2 linked regions of the Saccharomyces cerevisiae S288C genome follow. Changing the gene in region 1 together with any one later gene gives a genetic interaction. Each region holds a gene or a part of one and is shown on either strand. Other genes may lie near its edges.

Evidence for each region. Genes that interact genetically often act in the same process or in processes that back each other up.
Region 2: mutations in RIC1 (region 1) and SMI1 are lethal when combined (synthetic lethality), as found in Saccharomyces cerevisiae (5 studies listed by BioGRID, with this or other methods).

The regions. Positions count from the first base shown.
Region 1 is NC_001144.5:226,889-238,249, reverse strand, and holds the start of RIC1 (Ric1p), read left to right. Parts: upstream 1-9,653; coding exon 9,654-11,361. Other genes in the region: YLR046C (uncharacterized protein), read left to right, coding at 1-249; STU2 (Stu2p), read left to right, coding at 547-3,213; PDC1 (indolepyruvate decarboxylase 1), read left to right, coding at 4,169-5,860; thioredoxin TRX1, read left to right, coding at 6,237-6,548; NFG1 (Nfg1p), read left to right, coding at 7,799-8,284; AFB1 (Afb1p), read left to right, coding at 8,668-9,342.
Region 2 is NC_001139.9:949,300-957,260, reverse strand, and holds SMI1 (Smi1p), read left to right. Parts: upstream 1-6,361; coding exon 6,362-7,879; downstream 7,880-7,961. Other genes in the region: PHO81 (Pho81p), read left to right, coding at 1-2,587; NAS6 (Nas6p), read right to left, coding at 2,615-3,301; prohibitin subunit PHB2, read left to right, coding at 3,781-4,713; BNS1 (Bns1p), read right to left, coding at 4,954-5,367. UniProt on the Saccharomyces cerevisiae protein: Protein involved in the regulation of cell wall assembly and 1,3-beta-glucan synthesis, possibly through the transcriptional regulation of cell wall glucan and chitin synthesis.

The DNA.
Region 1 (11,361 bases):
CTTTTAGCTGGGATATTGCTGGTTAATGGTAGAACCATTGTCAGAGTAGTACAATTTCTAATGGGCTTACAAAGCTATATAGGTCAGCACGAATGGTGCCTTTACGTTTTCGATACAGTTCTAATGTTTTTACTACCTTTGATTTTCCTAGCAACCTTTCGCGCAAGAAATTTGTTCAAGCTGCAGGATAAATCTGTCAATATTCAATTAAACAAATTATTAGACAAGGAATCTGTGTCTGAAGATTAAGTAGTCAAAAATTTATTAATTAAATAGTTGGATAATATTTGTGCTGGGCATTAGAAGTCAATCTTGTCTTTTCCTTTATATGGTGCAAAGATTATCATGGTTAACGAATCTATTTTTTTTCGTGTCGTTTTTGTTTTTGTTTTTGTTTTTGTTTTGTCTGCTTGACACTCCATAGGAAGAGTAAATGAAGAACCTACCAGACCTAGGGACCAAATAGCATTACTAAACTACAAAGAAACAGCTATCTTTACAGTGTAAAGTATTTTTGAGTTTTTATTAAAGAGTTTGAAGTTGACTATGTCAGGAGAAGAAGAAGTAGATTATACAACGTTACCCCTAGAAGAGCGATTAACGTACAAGTTATGGAAGGCACGTTTAGAAGCTTATAAGGAGTTAAACCAGCTTTTTAGAAACTCCGTTGGCGACATCAGTAGGGATGACAACATACAAATTTACTGGAGGGATCCTACATTATTTGCACAATATATAACTGATTCTAATGTGGTCGCTCAAGAACAAGCCATTGTTGCCTTGAATAGTTTAATAGATGCCTTTGCGTCATCGTCTTTGAAAAATGCACATAATATTACTTTAATATCAACATGGACACCATTGCTTGTGGAAAAGGGCTTAACGTCCTCAAGGGCTACAACGAAGACGCAGTCGATGAGCTGTATACTCTCACTATGTGGTCTTGATACATCTATTACGCAATCGGTGGAATTGGTAATACCCTTTTTCGAGAAAAAACTGCCAAAATTAATTGCTGCGGCAGCCAATTGTGTTTATGAGTTGATGGCTGCATTCGGGCTCACTAATGTGAACGTTCAAACGTTTCTACCAGAATTATTAAAGCACGTACCTCAACTAGCCGGTCATGGTGATAGAAACGTTCGATCACAAACGATGAATTTGATTGTCGAGATCTATAAGGTTACGGGCAACAATAGCGACTTGTTAGAGGAGATACTGTTTAAAAAATTAAAACCAATTCAAGTGAAAGATCTTCATAAATTGTTTGCAAAAGTTGGTGACGAGCCATCGTCATCGAAAATGTTATTCGAGTGGGAGAAAAGAGAATTGGAAAAGAAAAGAAGCCAAGAGGAGGAAGCCAGGAAAAGAAAGTCCATATTATCGAATGATGAGGGGGAATATCAGATAGATAAGGATGGAGATACATTGATGGGGATGGAAACGGATATGCCACCATCAAAACAGCAAAGTGGAGTTCAAATAGACACCTTCAGTATGCTACCGGAGGAGACGATCCTCGATAAACTGCCTAAGGACTTCCAGGAAAGGATAACGTCGTCCAAATGGAAAGATAGAGTGGAAGCGCTGGAAGAATTTTGGGATAGTGTTCTATCGCAGACTAAGAAGTTAAAAAGCACCTCGCAAAATTATTCCAACTTATTGGGGATATATGGCCATATTATCCAGAAAGATGCAAACATTCAAGCTGTTGCACTAGCCGCTCAATCAGTAGAATTAATCTGCGACAAACTAAAAACACCAGGCTTTTCCAAGGATTATGTTTCACTAGTCTTCACTCCCTTGTTAGACAGGACAAAGGAAAAGAAACCTTCTGTGATAGAGGCCATTAGGAAGGCATTATTAACCATCTGCAAGTATTACGATCCATTAGCCTCCAGTGGACGCAATGAAGATATGTTGAAAGATATTTTGGAGCATATGAAGCACAAGACACCTCAAATCAGAATGGAGTGTACGCAATTGTTTAATGCAAGCATGAAAGAAGAAAAAGATGGATACTCGACCCTGCAAAGATACTTGAAGGATGAAGTGGTACCAATTGTGATTCAGATCGTCAACGACACCCAACCTGCTATAAGAACTATTGGATTTGAGAGTTTCGCCATTCTAATTAAAATATTTGGCATGAATACCTTTGTGAAAACATTAGAGCACTTGGATAATTTGAAAAGGAAAAAAATTGAAGAAACGGTCAAAACTCTACCTAATTTCAGTATTGCAAGTGGTAGTACCCATAGCACTATTGAAACGAATAAACAAACTGGGCCAATGGAGAATAAATTTCTCCTGAAAAAAAGTTCTGTACTTCCCTCCAAGAGAGTGGCATCTTCACCGCTGAGAAATGATAACAAAAGTAAAGTGAACCCAATAGGGTCAGTAGCCTCCGCATCAAAACCATCAATGGTAGCTGCTAACAATAAATCGAGGGTCCTGTTGACGTCTAAGTCTTTGGCAACGCCAAAAAACGTAGTAGCTAATAGCACTGACAAGAATGAAAAGTTGATTGAAGAATACAAGTACAGACTGCAAAAACTACAAAATGATGAGATGATATGGACCAAAGAAAGACAAAGCCTATTGGAAAAGATGAATAATACAGAAAATTATAAGATCGAAATGATTAAAGAAAACGAAATGCTAAGAGAGCAACTAAAGGAAGCGCAGTCTAAATTGAACGAAAAGAACATTCAATTAAGATCCAAGGAGATTGATGTCAATAAGCTGTCTGATAGAGTACTGTCACTAGAAAACGAGCTTAGAAACATGGAGATCGAATTGGATAGAAATAAGAAAAGAAATGATACAAACTTGCAATCGATGGGTACGATTTCATCATACTCCATACCTTCTTCCACCGTGTCAAGCAACTATGGGGTAAAATCTTTATCTTCCGCTTTGCCATTTAAGGAGGAGGAAGATGTCAGAAGGAAAGAGGACGTCAACTATGAAAGAAGATCAAGCGAGTCCATCGGCGACCTGCCGCACCGCGTAAACTCTCTTAACATACGGCCGTACAGAAAAAACGGCACTGGAGTGAGCAGTGTCTCCGACGATTTGGATATCGATTTCAACGATAGTTTTGCCTCAGAAGAAAGTTATAAACGTGCCGCTGCAGTGACATCTACCCTAAAGGCCAGAATTGAAAAAATGAAGGCCAAATCAAGGCGGGAAGGGACAACCAGGACGTAAAGGGTAGCCTCCCCATAACATAAACTCAATAAAATATATAGTCTTCAACTTGAAAAAGGAACAAGCTCATGCAAAGAGGTGGTACCCGCACGCCGAAATGCATGCAAGTAACCTATTCAAAGTAATATCTCATACATGTTTCATGAGGGTAACAACATGCGACTGGGTGAGCATATGTTCCGCTGATGTGATGTGCAAGATAAACAAGCAAGGCAGAAACTAACTTCTTCTTCATGTAATAAACACACCCCGCGTTTATTTACCTATCTCTAAACTTCAACACCTTATATCATAACTAATATTTCTTGAGATAAGCACACTGCACCCATACCTTCCTTAAAAACGTAGCTTCCAGTTTTTGGTGGTTCCGGCTTCCTTCCCGATTCCGCCCGCTAAACGCATATTTTTGTTGCCTGGTGGCATTTGCAAAATGCATAACCTATGCATTTAAAAGATTATGTATGCTCTTCTGACTTTTCGTGTGATGAGGCTCGTGGAAAAAATGAATAATTTATGAATTTGAGAACAATTTTGTGTTGTTACGGTATTTTACTATGGAATAATCAATCAATTGAGGATTTTATGCAAATATCGTTTGAATATTTTTCCGACCCTTTGAGTACTTTTCTTCATAATTGCATAATATTGTCCGCTGCCCCTTTTTCTGTTAGACGGTGTCTTGATCTACTTGCTATCGTTCAACACCACCTTATTTTCTAACTATTTTTTTTTTAGCTCATTTGAATCAGCTTATGGTGATGGCACATTTTTGCATAAACCTAGCTGTCCTCGTTGAACATAGGAAAAAAAAATATATAAACAAGGCTCTTTCACTCTCCTTGCAATCAGATTTGGGTTTGTTCCCTTTATTTTCATATTTCTTGTCATATTCCTTTCTCAATTATTATTTTCTACTCATAACCTCACGCAAAATAACACAGTCAAATCAATCAAAATGTCTGAAATTACTTTGGGTAAATATTTGTTCGAAAGATTAAAGCAAGTCAACGTTAACACCGTTTTCGGTTTGCCAGGTGACTTCAACTTGTCCTTGTTGGACAAGATCTACGAAGTTGAAGGTATGAGATGGGCTGGTAACGCCAACGAATTGAACGCTGCTTACGCCGCTGATGGTTACGCTCGTATCAAGGGTATGTCTTGTATCATCACCACCTTCGGTGTCGGTGAATTGTCTGCTTTGAACGGTATTGCCGGTTCTTACGCTGAACACGTCGGTGTTTTGCACGTTGTTGGTGTCCCATCCATCTCTGCTCAAGCTAAGCAATTGTTGTTGCACCACACCTTGGGTAACGGTGACTTCACTGTTTTCCACAGAATGTCTGCCAACATTTCTGAAACCACTGCTATGATCACTGACATTGCTACCGCCCCAGCTGAAATTGACAGATGTATCAGAACCACTTACGTCACCCAAAGACCAGTCTACTTAGGTTTGCCAGCTAACTTGGTCGACTTGAACGTCCCAGCTAAGTTGTTGCAAACTCCAATTGACATGTCTTTGAAGCCAAACGATGCTGAATCCGAAAAGGAAGTCATTGACACCATCTTGGCTTTGGTCAAGGATGCTAAGAACCCAGTTATCTTGGCTGATGCTTGTTGTTCCAGACACGACGTCAAGGCTGAAACTAAGAAGTTGATTGACTTGACTCAATTCCCAGCTTTCGTCACCCCAATGGGTAAGGGTTCCATTGACGAACAACACCCAAGATACGGTGGTGTTTACGTCGGTACCTTGTCCAAGCCAGAAGTTAAGGAAGCCGTTGAATCTGCTGACTTGATTTTGTCTGTCGGTGCTTTGTTGTCTGATTTCAACACCGGTTCTTTCTCTTACTCTTACAAGACCAAGAACATTGTCGAATTCCACTCCGACCACATGAAGATCAGAAACGCCACTTTCCCAGGTGTCCAAATGAAATTCGTTTTGCAAAAGTTGTTGACCACTATTGCTGACGCCGCTAAGGGTTACAAGCCAGTTGCTGTCCCAGCTAGAACTCCAGCTAACGCTGCTGTCCCAGCTTCTACCCCATTGAAGCAAGAATGGATGTGGAACCAATTGGGTAACTTCTTGCAAGAAGGTGATGTTGTCATTGCTGAAACCGGTACCTCCGCTTTCGGTATCAACCAAACCACTTTCCCAAACAACACCTACGGTATCTCTCAAGTCTTATGGGGTTCCATTGGTTTCACCACTGGTGCTACCTTGGGTGCTGCTTTCGCTGCTGAAGAAATTGATCCAAAGAAGAGAGTTATCTTATTCATTGGTGACGGTTCTTTGCAATTGACTGTTCAAGAAATCTCCACCATGATCAGATGGGGCTTGAAGCCATACTTGTTCGTCTTGAACAACGATGGTTACACCATTGAAAAGTTGATTCACGGTCCAAAGGCTCAATACAACGAAATTCAAGGTTGGGACCACCTATCCTTGTTGCCAACTTTCGGTGCTAAGGACTATGAAACCCACAGAGTCGCTACCACCGGTGAATGGGACAAGTTGACCCAAGACAAGTCTTTCAACGACAACTCTAAGATCAGAATGATTGAAATCATGTTGCCAGTCTTCGATGCTCCACAAAACTTGGTTGAACAAGCTAAGTTGACTGCTGCTACCAACGCTAAGCAATAAGCGATTTAATCTCTAATTATTAGTTAAAGTTTTATAAGCATTTTTATGTAACGAAAAATAAATTGGTTCATATTATTACTGCACTGTCACTTACCATGGAAAGACCAGACAAGAAGTTGCCGACAGTCTGTTGAATTGGCCTGGTTAGGCTTAAGTCTGGGTCCGCTTCTTTACAAATTTGGAGAATTTCTCTTAAACGATATGTATATTCTTTTCGTTGGAAAAGATGTCTTCCAAAAAAAAAACCGATGAATTAGTGGAACCAAGGAAAAAAAAAGAGGTATCCTTGATTAAGGAACACTGTTTAAACAGTGTGGTTTCCAAAACCCTGAAACTGCATTAGTGTAATAGAAGACTAGACACCTCGATACAAATAATGGTTACTCAATTCAAAACTGCCAGCGAATTCGACTCTGCAATTGCTCAAGACAAGCTAGTTGTCGTAGATTTCTACGCCACTTGGTGCGGTCCATGTAAAATGATTGCTCCAATGATTGAAAAATTCTCTGAACAATACCCACAAGCTGATTTCTATAAATTGGATGTCGATGAATTGGGTGATGTTGCACAAAAGAATGAAGTTTCCGCTATGCCAACTTTGCTTCTATTCAAGAACGGTAAGGAAGTTGCAAAGGTTGTTGGTGCCAACCCAGCGGCTATTAAGCAAGCCATTGCTGCTAATGCTTAAACTCACCCAATGACCGATATATTGTGTTTCTATACTGTGTTTGTTATATATAGTTTACCTTTTTTAGACAAAAAAACAGAATTATATATTATCCTTATGTTTTGTTATTTACTCGGAAGCACACAATTGCCCACCACACAAAGGAGGTGGAGGAAACAATTAATTTTTCACACAAGAGGTATATATTTGGAGAAAAATGAAGAATGAGATACTTTTCTTCCGATTACTTAAGTATTACGGCTCTGAAATTTTCTCGAGCATTAGATGATTAAATCAAAATGACATAGTATTTCGCAACCTTTCAGTTGGGCTTTGTTTAAGAAGTGGAATACTTTTGCTTGAGTTGTTTAGTTTTATTTTATCCACTGTTGTCTTAACAAATATTTTCAAGACCGGTAAGCCGAAGATGAAAAATCATTATTAACTCATTTTTTGAACAAAAATATAAACAAAAGAAAGGCAACGCACAATTTTAGAGATACATAAAACGCAGTGGATGTTAAAAATAACAGCGGTACAGAAACGCCTGTCTCGCTCCAATAATAATTATACAAATTTGAAACCGAACGCAATGTGCCAAGAAATGTAAACACACTATAGAAAAAAATAGAACGGTGCACATTGTGCTAGCATATCTGCTTGGTTCTGAACAAGAAGCACCTGGCCACTTTCTCCTAGCCCAATTCTTGCCAAGTTTTCAACCTCAATCTTTTGTGTTTGAACAAGCATGTATGAGGGGTCAAAATTTAGTGGAGGCCGCTTACAATCCTTCTATTTCCTCTGGACCTCATTAGCCGTCTGGCCAGACCTAAGCGTCATAATCTGGAGAATTTCATTGCATGCGAGAATATGATAAGTAAGAACTTGTTTATTTATACAAGTTCCACCCACTCATACACGGCTACAATTATGACGTATAATAACGTTTCGTCTAGCCCACCTTTTTTACTTTTGACGTTTTATTTCTTTCGAGGATTTGGCCAAGAATGCCCCGAACAGCGGAAAAAATGGCGTCGCAGTTTCAGATGTATAGACTCATCTTGTAGAAAAAAGAATGCAAGAATGAAGTCTTTTCGTGGTGTTTTGAAAACACTATAAACAAACCGTCAACAAACATTTTGTATAAATATTTAGCTATATATTGAATATCTTGACCAGTAAAGCACCTTGAGAAATTGTAAGCTTGAAGAACGTACTTTGATATCCCTCCGTTTCATCATCCTATAGCTCGTCAACAAATCAAAAAAAATATGAAGATCAGTCAATTTGGCTCTTTAGCTTTCGCCCCAATTGTGCTACTACAACTGTTCATTGTTCAAGCGCAACTTCTCACAGATTCAAATGCTCAGGATTTGAATACTGCCCTTGGACAGAAAGTGCAATACACCTTTCTTGACACTGGAAATTCTAACGATCAACTACTTCATCTTCCAAGCACCACCTCTTCCAGCATTATTACTGGTTCATTAGCTGCTGCTAATTTCACCGGTTCTTCATCATCGTCGTCTATACCAAAAGTCACTTCCAGCGTCATAACATCTATAAATTACCAATCCTCAAATTCTACGGTAGTCACCCAGTTCACGCCATTGCCTTCTTCGTCGAGAAATGAAACAAAAAGCTCTCAAACAACTAATACTATAAGTTCAAGTACAAGCACAGGAGGTGTAGGTTCAGTCAAGCCATGTCTTTACTTCGTTTTAATGTTAGAAACAATCGCTTATTTGTTTTCTTAAACAAATATATTAGGTTCAAGGTCTTCGCAGGTGTAAGAAAACCCGTGGTCTCCATATTCTTAAGTATGATAAATAAAAAAAAACTTAATAAATTATTAATTGCTTCAAACCTTTTTCTTTTTTTAGTTTTTAATATTTCAAACGTTATCTTCATTGAACGCCCAAATAGGGAAAAATCCTGGCAAATTTTTTATTGCTGTCATCCAAGGCTATGCTAGAAAATTCAAGAGCTTGGATGATTTAAAAAGACACTCTCAATCGAGAAAGTTTATTCTTTGTTATTCTGCTTTACCTGATCATATTCCGGCGTATTGTTTCTAATCAAGTGATTTCGATATCCAGTTACGAACCATTTACAACATTCCTGAAAATATTGCGTATCAATGATATTTGCTCCTTCTTTCTCCCTCATTAAAAATATTCTCCTGGTAAGCTTTCTAATCAGCCACAGTTTTGCTGCCAAAACTTTAACGTCTAGTTCCAATGACGATACACTTGCCAGGTCCGCAGCTGCAGATGCAGACATGGCATTCTTCATGGAGTTTTTAAACGATTTCGACACCGCTTTTCCACAGTATACCTCATACATGATGCAAAACCATTTAACCCTACCTCAACCTGTTGCTGACTACTACTATCACATGGTTGATTTGGCCTCAACAGCAGATTTACAATCTGATATTGCTCAGAGTTTTCCGTTCACTCAATTCCAAACATTCATTACGGCCTTTCCATGGTATACCTCTTTGCTAAACAAAGCCTCCGCCACCACCATATACCTTCCCCAACACTTCATAACAGGTGAGACAGAAGCTACCATGACTAACTCATCTTATGCCAGCCAAAAAAACTCCGTTTCCAATTCTGTTCCTTTCTCGACAGCGAACGCAGGCCAGTCCATGATTTCCATGGCTAATGAAGAAAACAGTACAACAGCACTTATATCCGCATCAAACTCTTCTTCAACATCCAGAACTAGTCAATCACAGAATGGTGCCCATGCCAAAAGCTTATATTTCCCCATGGCGTTGTTCGGAATCTTTGCAGTTGCCCTTTAAGTGCCTCAACCAAATTTGACAATTTAATTCCATGGGAGGTCCGCCATCCCTTTTCGCTTTTTTTATAATATGTGTATTATTTATACAAATATGTATATAAGTATGTACTTTTTCAATGGACAATTCGATTTTAAGAGCGTTTTTAGTGACAACGATGAACATCAACTTTGTACAGTATCAAACGATTTATTTTTAACATATTATTATAACTTCTGAATGGCGTTGCCATCTTGGCCAAAATCTTGTCTTTTCTGTCGTTTTATGGCAGGCTTTTGTTCTTTGATGTTAATTCGGCAATACCGACGCCTTTGATGTTCATCAAACAGTCTGAAAAAAATACACCTAAATGCCTCTACAAAAAAAAAGGTAAGGTAAGAGTGTTATTGACCGGAAGCTGTAAGAAACTGAACACGTGGAAAATGCACTTATGGCCAGTCAGTCCGCCCCAATTGCTTAGAATTCCACCCCGCAACGCCGAATTAGGTGAGGGTACTAAAATAGATGATTGCAATATTCTTCAATCAATGACACTACCCCAGGCCAATGTTCTTATCATGCTAACCCCAACAAGAGTGCTCATTTACAACTTCAAACCAATGGCACTAGTAGCTAGCCATGAACGAACAATGGCTTCTCTTAAGGAATTTGGCGATAACAGATCAATGAAACGATCAGCTCCATATAATGATATCATCGAAGGGCTTATTTCAAAAAAGGACTCGCAATACTTATTGTGGCACCAGGGAAAGCTGATATTTTACGTAATGACTGATAAAAACTTCCTTTTAACATACCAAATTTTAAAAAACTGCACAAATGAAATAATTTTCAAAGAATACGGCATACCCGTCATAGAGCCTCTTTTAATGAGTGAAGAAGAAGCGAACAGTGCTGAATATGACTATAACAACGATGATGATACTCTCACGGTATTTGATAAAAATAGTTCTTCAAGAATTATACAGAATGGATTTGGCATAACTAAGGAAAAAGGGTTTTTACACTTTCTTTCTAATCAAGAAAACATTGATGAACTCCCCGTGAAAAAACTAGAACTTCGTTTAAAAGTAGTTCTTAAATTTGACTATGAAATCATAGACATGATTGGCATCAAGACATTTTCCAAAGTCGGGGATGGGCGTTATGAAGAAGTTTTGATAGTTTTATTCCCTCATGGATTACAAATACTTACAATATCGGATTTTAAAGTTAGCAAGAGCTCGTTGGTTGAAGTGAAGAAGGGATCCAAGACAATTGTGTGTAATAAACAATTAATGGTTTTATCTCATGATTCCGTCGAAAAGCAGACTATTGTAAGCATTATAGACATTGAAAAGCAAGCTGTTGAAGCAATACCGTTAACGGACACACCAGATGAACTTTTGACTTGCCTAGAAGTTAATGGATACCTGGTGGTCGTTTACAAAGAAAAAATAATCTGCTTTGATACAAGAATTAAAAAAGTAAGCCATTCTTGGAAACCACCATTTGTGATAAAACTTTGCGATAAAATTAATGATAAAATATTACTTTTGGTTTCTGAGGATAGTGTTAACATTCATTTTTACACAGAATTTGGGAATCTGCTATTCGCTACATATTTTGACGAAGATGATTATAATGGTGATAACAATAATGACAACAGCAAGGATAAAAATGAGAAAAAGGCGGCTGAATATAAAATTTCTGATTTTGTATGCTTGGATAAATCACTAATAACAGTGTCTCATTCCGGAAAATATCAAGTTTGGAAATTATGGGAAGAAATAAAACAAACACAATTTGATTTCAGAAACCCAAAATGTTACGTATTAACCAATACGAACAATGATGTAATCATATATTCACCTGTGACAAGTTCTTCAATCAATAATGATAATTTACAAGTCATAAAACTTCCTACAAAGACTTTCAATAATCATATTGCTTTTGTAAAAATTAATTCTTCCTTGAGGTTATTTGCTACTTATGTGTCGAACAAAAACATACTGCTTATCCACAATCTAGAGACCAATATGT
Region 2 (7,961 bases), on another chromosome or scaffold:
TCTGCTACAAAATTCCTCAGAATCTTTTCATAAAAATGTCTTTTCTTTGTTGAAGGAGTGCTTAACGACGCTGTTTTTATTACTGGTGGCTAGTCCTTTGGACGATAACTCTCTGCATATTTTCTATAAAAGCAATCAGGATCATATTGATCTGTCATATTGTGACGAAGATGATCAAGTATTTTCACGAAAAAACGTATTTCACGAGGCTGCAAGTTGTCCAGAAAAATCACGCTTATTTATTCTAGATGAGGCTTTAACAACATCAAAGTTATCTAAAGAAACAGTACAAAAACTACTGAATGCCCAAGATATACATTCGCGGGTGCCGCTACATTATGCTGCAGAGCTAGGAAAACTGGAATTTGTTCACTCGTTGCTAATCACCAATCTTTTAGAGGACGTTGATCCCATTGATAGTGATTCTAAGACACCCTTGGTTTTGGCTATCACTAACAACCACATAGATGTTGTTAGGGATCTGCTGACTATTGGTGGTGCGAACGCATCACCCATTGAAAAGCCAATTCTGGATTATAGTAAGAATGTAATCAGCTCTACTAAAGTCCAGTTCGATCCTTTAAATGTTGCTTGTAAATTTAATAATCATGACGCCGCCAAGTTACTTTTAGAAATTCGGAGTAAGCAAAATGCTGATAATGCCAAGAACAAAAGTTCACAACACTTGTGTCAACCGCTTTTCAAAAAGAACTCAACAGGTTTATGCACTCTTCATATAGTGGCAAAAATTGGCGGCGATCCACAATTAATTCAACTATTGATACGTTATGGGGCGGATCCCAACGAAATTGATGGGTTTAATAAATGGACGCCCATTTTTTACGCTGTTCGTTCAGGTCATTCTGAAGTTATTACTGAACTATTGAAACATAATGCACGTCTGGATATTGAAGATGACAACGGCCATTCGCCACTTTTTTACGCCTTATGGGAGAGCCACGTTGATGTTTTGAATGCACTTTTACAAAGACCATTAAATTTGCCATCTGCACCCCTGAATGAAATAAATTCGCAGTCTAGTACGCAACGCCTTAATACAATAGATTTAACCCCAAATGATGACAAATTTGATTTAGACATTCAAGATAGCATTCCGGATTTTGCTTTACCACCGCCAATCATTCCACTAAGGAAATATGGTCATAATTTTTTGGAGAAAAAAATTTTCATCAAATTAAAGTTGAGGCCAGGTCTCGAGTCTATCAAGTTGACTCAGGATAACGGCATTATTATGTCATCATCACCAGGCAGAATTACTTTATCCTCAAACTTACCTGAAATAATACCGCGAAATGTTATTTTACCTGTTAGATCTGGCGAAATTAATAACTTTTGTAAGGATATCAGTGAAACAAATGATGAAGAAGATGATGATGAAATTAGTGAAGATCATGATGATGGAGAGATAATTTTCCAAGTAGATTCAATCGACGATTTTTCAATGGATTTCGAGATATTTCCTTCATTTGGCACAAGGATAATTGCCAAAACAACGGCAATGCCATTCCTTTTCAAGAAGGTGGCAATAAATAGTATTGCAACCATGAATTTACCCTTATTCGACACAAGACTAAATAATATTGGATCTCTCACTTTGGATTACCAAATTATTTTTCCTTATCCGGGAAATCCACTGAAAATCATAAATTATGAGCCGTATTGGAAATCTACAGGAAGTGATTTAATGACCTCTAGTAAAGACGGTAATTTTGTTACTTCTTCATCGTTGAATGGCAGTTTTATTAGTGTATTAGTTTGCGCTCTGAATGATGAAACCATAGTGGCTGCGCCAAAACCATACGTTGAATTCAAAGGCACGAAGATTCTGTTAAATGATTTAACGAAAGAACAATTGGAAAAGGTAGTGGATTATGACTTCGGTAAAATTGATGGAAGCTTCGATGAAGTAACATTGAAACAATACTTATCTTCGAGAGTGGTGCCTCTCAGAAGCCTACTAGAAGTTATTCCCGGGTCAGCCCAGCTGGTAATTCGTGTATATTTTCCTACAGATAAGGAAATTGACACAATTCCCATCAAAATATCGCCATTTATAAATATCAATCAATTCATTGATAAGCTTTTACTAATCATTTTCGAGCATGAACGTTTTTTGCGTCACAGCGGAAGTGGGAGTATGCGCCAAATAGTTTTCAGTTCATGCAATTGGGAAGCTTGCTCGATCCTTAACTGGAAACAACCCAATTTTCCGGTTTTGTTGCAAATGAAAAATCTACTCAGAGATTCAACCACAGGCAAATTTGTAGGTGATACTCCTAATTGTTTAAAGGAACTGGCCGTAAATCCTCAAAAAATGTCGTATTTAAACACGGAACTAATAAACATACATACAATGGTTCAATTTGCTATGAACAATAATTTGTTAGGTGTAACGCTTCCATATGAAGTACTGAAGATATGCCCGTCGTTGGCTAGGATCATCAAACAAAACGGACTACTGTTGATTGCATCGGTCGGGGAAAATGACCAAATACCAGCTGATGGAGGTTACAGCGGGATCTACTACGCTTGTGAGTTGCTTTTTGAGAATAATATTGATATGTAAAGTTCTGTAATATGTAGTTTTGAAATCTTATACATTATTTAGGAAAAACTTTTTAACCTGTTCATTAAGGGCAACATCTTCTGCCTTAGCGCCTTTATTATCTACAAGATCATATTCTGCACCATACTTTTCCACCAACAATACAGCTGCGTCACCGTGCCCTTCAGCCAAAGCATGAAATAGTGGGGTCCAACCCTGCTTATCCTGCCAATTTACAGCGCTTTTGCCCAAACCGCATAATAGTTCAATTAATTTCAAAGAACCCACCGACGCAGCTCTATGCAATGGAATTTGATTAAATTTATCTTTAATTCTTACGGACGCACCATTTTCAATTAAAAATTGGGATACTTCAAACCATTTCTTACCAACTGCCAAGTGCAAGCATGTAACTCCTTGATTGGTTATCTTATTTAGATCAGGCTTTAGAGGTCTGTCGTAAAGAGACTTTACCACCTCCAAATTCCCCACTGAACAAGCAATATGGAAAGGTGTCCATCCAGAATCATCTGGATAATCATCTAAGTTAACATTTTCCATTTTAGAAAGCAAAAAACTGGTAATTTCATGTGCTTGGAAAGAAACTGACCAGTGTAAAGGGATTCTGCCATCCTGGTCCTTCTGTAGCAACAAGGAAGGTTTGGAGTGTAGCAGCTCTTGTACCTTGAAAAACTCATTTTCCATGCAGGCTTGATGCAAAGGATAATTAGACATGGTTATACAGTTTTAAGGGCATGCATTTATGTAGCATTTATTATCACAGCTTCAGCTGATCGTTCTTTAAAGAACCCTTTTATGAAGGGCCCTTCGATCATACTTGACAGCCGGGTAAGAGAGATATTCTTTGTATAGAAATGAAATCAGATTACATAAAGCAGTGTGCAATTTGAGTGGCCCCATTTAAATACTTTCTACTTCCTCTATTGCTATGAGTAATACTGCGATGTGGCCGTATCCGTTTAGTCGATATTTTAATAGCTTGCATGTAATTGTGTTGCATAATCACTATCAACGACATAGAGTGGCAAACTTTTCTTGTATCGCTCATTTTGGCATCTAAGGGAAATAATAGCAAAAAAGGGCAATTCATAAACCATAAAGGACATCAGAAGAGTTTTACAGGGGAGGTTGTATTTTAGTAGCTCACGAAATAAAAGCAAGCGGCTGCTAGAAAAGAATATAATTTAGTGCTGATGAATAGATCACCTGGTGAGTTCCAAAGGTACGCAAAGGCGTTCCAAAAACAATTGTCCAAGGTACAGCAAACCGGAGGCAGAGGTCAAGTGCCTTCACCAAGGGGGGCATTTGCAGGCTTGGGAGGTTTGCTTTTACTCGGAGGTGGTGCACTGTTCATTAATAATGCACTGTTCAATGTAGATGGTGGTCATAGAGCCATTGTTTATTCCAGAATACATGGTGTTTCCTCTAGGATATTTAATGAAGGTACTCACTTCATTTTCCCTTGGCTTGACACACCAATTATTTATGATGTGAGAGCAAAACCTCGTAATGTTGCTTCTTTAACAGGTACCAAAGACTTACAAATGGTGAATATCACCTGTAGAGTACTTTCAAGACCGGATGTGGTGCAATTGCCCACCATATACAGAACCTTAGGTCAGGATTACGATGAAAGAGTGTTGCCTTCCATTGTTAATGAAGTTTTAAAGGCTGTAGTGGCCCAATTTAATGCGTCACAATTAATCACTCAAAGAGAAAAAGTTTCCAGGTTGATTCGCGAGAATTTGGTTCGTCGTGCAAGCAAATTCAATATCCTACTGGATGATGTTTCTATTACGTACATGACTTTTTCGCCAGAGTTTACGAACGCTGTAGAAGCAAAGCAAATTGCCCAACAAGATGCTCAAAGGGCTGCATTTGTAGTTGATAAAGCCAGACAAGAAAAACAAGGTATGGTAGTGAGGGCACAAGGTGAAGCCAAATCCGCCGAACTGATTGGTGAAGCCATCAAGAAATCAAGAGACTACGTGGAATTGAAAAGATTAGATACAGCCAGGGACATTGCAAAGATCTTGGCTAGCTCTCCAAATAGAGTCATCTTGGATAATGAAGCATTGTTGCTAAATACCGTAGTGGATGCAAGAATCGATGGAAGGGGCAAATAAATAGCGAAGGCTAGATATTATCTTTAAGAATTGAGTAACAATGTTAAGATGCCATATACTTGTGAATACAAAATAAAGGGAAAGAAAGCGATGCGTAAAACATAAATATTTGTATGTCTTCTAGAATAAGAATAAGGAGTATTACCCCGTATCATCTTGTATTGTTGGAGAACGTATATAGTATAATATGTAACACATACAGCAAAAAAATAGGCCAATTTATGATCATCATCCGTTAAATTAAATGTCTACATTCGGCTTGCGTGGTATATTCTGTTTGCCCCGCACAAACTCCAGTGTTTTGGGTTGCGATTTGGCTGAGAAAAGTTTTGACTTGTGATCATTCAGTTTTCTAGAGCATGGTGAAAGCAAATTGTCTGACGGCGACGCAAATTTTTGCCTAAGTTGCGTGTTCAAGTTTTTCCTTTGATCTTCCACTGCTTTTCTTTTCCGATACGTATTCTTGAATACTTGTCGATGAAGGCAATGCTTTGCAAATGTCTTCGTGTTATGCGCAACTTTAAGACTCATTTTCAAGTGTTGATTAAAAGAATCTAGATTTTCATCCCTCCTGGTGCAAGACACAGACGTATTTTGGATTTTTCTAATCAATTTTGTCACTATATCTTGGGATGCCGATCCGCCGTATGACATCGCAAATCTGTTACTTTTTTTTAGCGCAATGATGTAGTAGCCTCTGATTAACTTTTTTTAAAAAAAAATCACAGATAAGTAGAGGAAGAAGAATTTGCTGCTTATTGGGAACTTTCAATAGAAACCTTTTGTAGAGGATTTCGTTATTTGTTCAAGAGAATAAAAAGGTATACATTTGAAATCCTAGCATTAACTTCAGATACCTTCCACCTTACTAATCGCAGGCCTTTATGACAACGGAGGAGAGTTAGAACGAAGCAGAGAGGCTCCAATCTACATGGGAACATCGCAAAAGATGCGTACTCCGCACTGATCCATTTACCTGCAGGGCTTAACATGCATTGCACCACCGTTTGTACATCATAAGTTAATTACATTCCTTTTTAGGATAGTCTACTATTTATTTTTTCCCGTATCTGGAAAACCCCCTTAGATCCTTGTCACATAATCATAAAAATAAAGGCACCAAGCCCTAAAGCACGTGACATATGTCATTACCCTAGATTACATATAGGGCTTCCAAAGCCCTATTGGAGGTCGAAAAAAAGAAAAAAGAAAATAAAAAAGCGAAAAAAAGAAATGCATAATTCGCAGATTGTTTTTTTTTTCTTTTTCTAATGTCAGTTTTCCTACTTCGAGATCAAAAGAATGTTTTTGCACCGCAACTGAAAAGGTTGTGTTTTCTTTCCAGAGTAAATTACATTTTAATCAATTCTTTGCGCTGCTACGCAATCTTCAAACGCAAGTCCATTCTTAGAAATTTTAGCTTCTCTCAATATTGAAATATTTGCAAATACGCCATTCAAGAATCAAGCCTGTTGAAAATAAAGGTACAAAATTAAATCCGCTAATTATTTTTTTTCGTGTTCGACTAAAGTTATCGAAAAATTGAAAATATACAAGGACTAGCTATACTATCAATACGCAAAGAAAATACAAAATAAACGCACATTCGTTCTATAGGCGACAACTTGGCAGAATTTTTTAGTATAAAATGGATCTATTCAAAAGAAAAGTTAAAGAATGGGTATACTCCCTCAGCACTGACGACCATTATGCAGAGTATAACCCCGATGAAACGCCTACTTTTAACATGGGTAAACGTTTAAACAGCAACAATGGTCAGGTAAATCCCTCTCAAATGCATTTGAATAGTGTAGATGAGGAAATGAGCATGGGATTTCAAAATGGCGTGCCATCTAATGAAGACATAAATATTGATGAATTTACGTCCACGGAGTCAAACGATGGTGTCTCTGAAACCCTCTTAGCTTGGAGACACATCGATTTTTGGACCAGTGAACATAATCCAGATTTAAATGCAACTTTGAGTGATCCTTGCACCCAAAACGATATCACTCACGCAGAGGAAGACTTGGAAGTTAGCTTTCCCAACCCAGTAAAAGCGTCTTTCAAAATTCATGATGGCCAAGAAGATTTAGAATCGATGACCGGTACTTCTGGCTTGTTTTATGGCTTCCAACTAATGACACTAGATCAGGTTGTAGCTATGACTCAGGCCTGGAGAAACGTCGCAAAGAACCTAAACAAAAGATCTCAACAAGGTTTATCCCATGTTACATCTACTGGCTCTTCTTCATCTATGGAAAGACTAAATGGTAACAAGTTCAAACTGCCAAATATCCCAGATCAAAAATCTATTCCTCCAAATGCAGTGCAACCGGTATATGCACATCCTGCTTGGATTCCTTTAATAACGGACAATGCCGGTAACCATATCGGTGTTGACTTGGCGCCTGGTCCAAATGGTAAATATGCTCAAATTATAACATTTGGGAGGGACTTCGATACGAAATTTGTCATTGCTGAAAATTGGGGTGAATTTCTGTTATCGTTTGCCAACGATTTGGAAGCTGGTAATTGGTATTTAGTAGATGACAATGACGACTACTTTAGCGGTGATGGTGAATTGGTCTTCAGGGATAAGAAATCTAATGGTCCTATACAAGATTATTTCGAAGTTTTAAAAAGAAGAACGTGGATCAAGTATCAAGAAAACTTGAGATCACAACAGCAAAAATCTCAACCTGACACATCCTTGCAGGAGCAGAAATACGTGCCTGCCTCGCAAAAGAAAGTGGCAGCTGAACAGCCTTCTACCCTCAACGCAGAATCCATAAAGGGCGAAGATAGTGGTAGTGCAGATGTACAATCTGTTCAAGATCACGAATCTGTCAAAATTGTGAAAACAGAACCTAGCGAAGCGGAGACTACAACTGTAAATACAGAAAGCCTTGGACAAGCAGAGCATGAAATCAAAGCTGATAATGTAGACATTAAACAAGAAAGCGAGAGGAAAGAAGACGAAAAGCAACCAAAGGTTGAAGAAAAAGAACACGTTGAAAACGAACATGTCACAGAATCAGCAAAAAAAGACGATGATGTAAATAAGCAAACAGAAGAAATGAACAAAAAGGAAGAAAATGAAATAAGAAGTGATGATGCTAAAGTGGAAGAAGCGAGAGAAGAATTTGAAAATATAGCTTTATGAAATATCACAATTAACATTCTACAACCAAAAAGAAATTTGGACAATATTTATTTCTATTAAACTGTTCTAGGTAGGTTTCAAC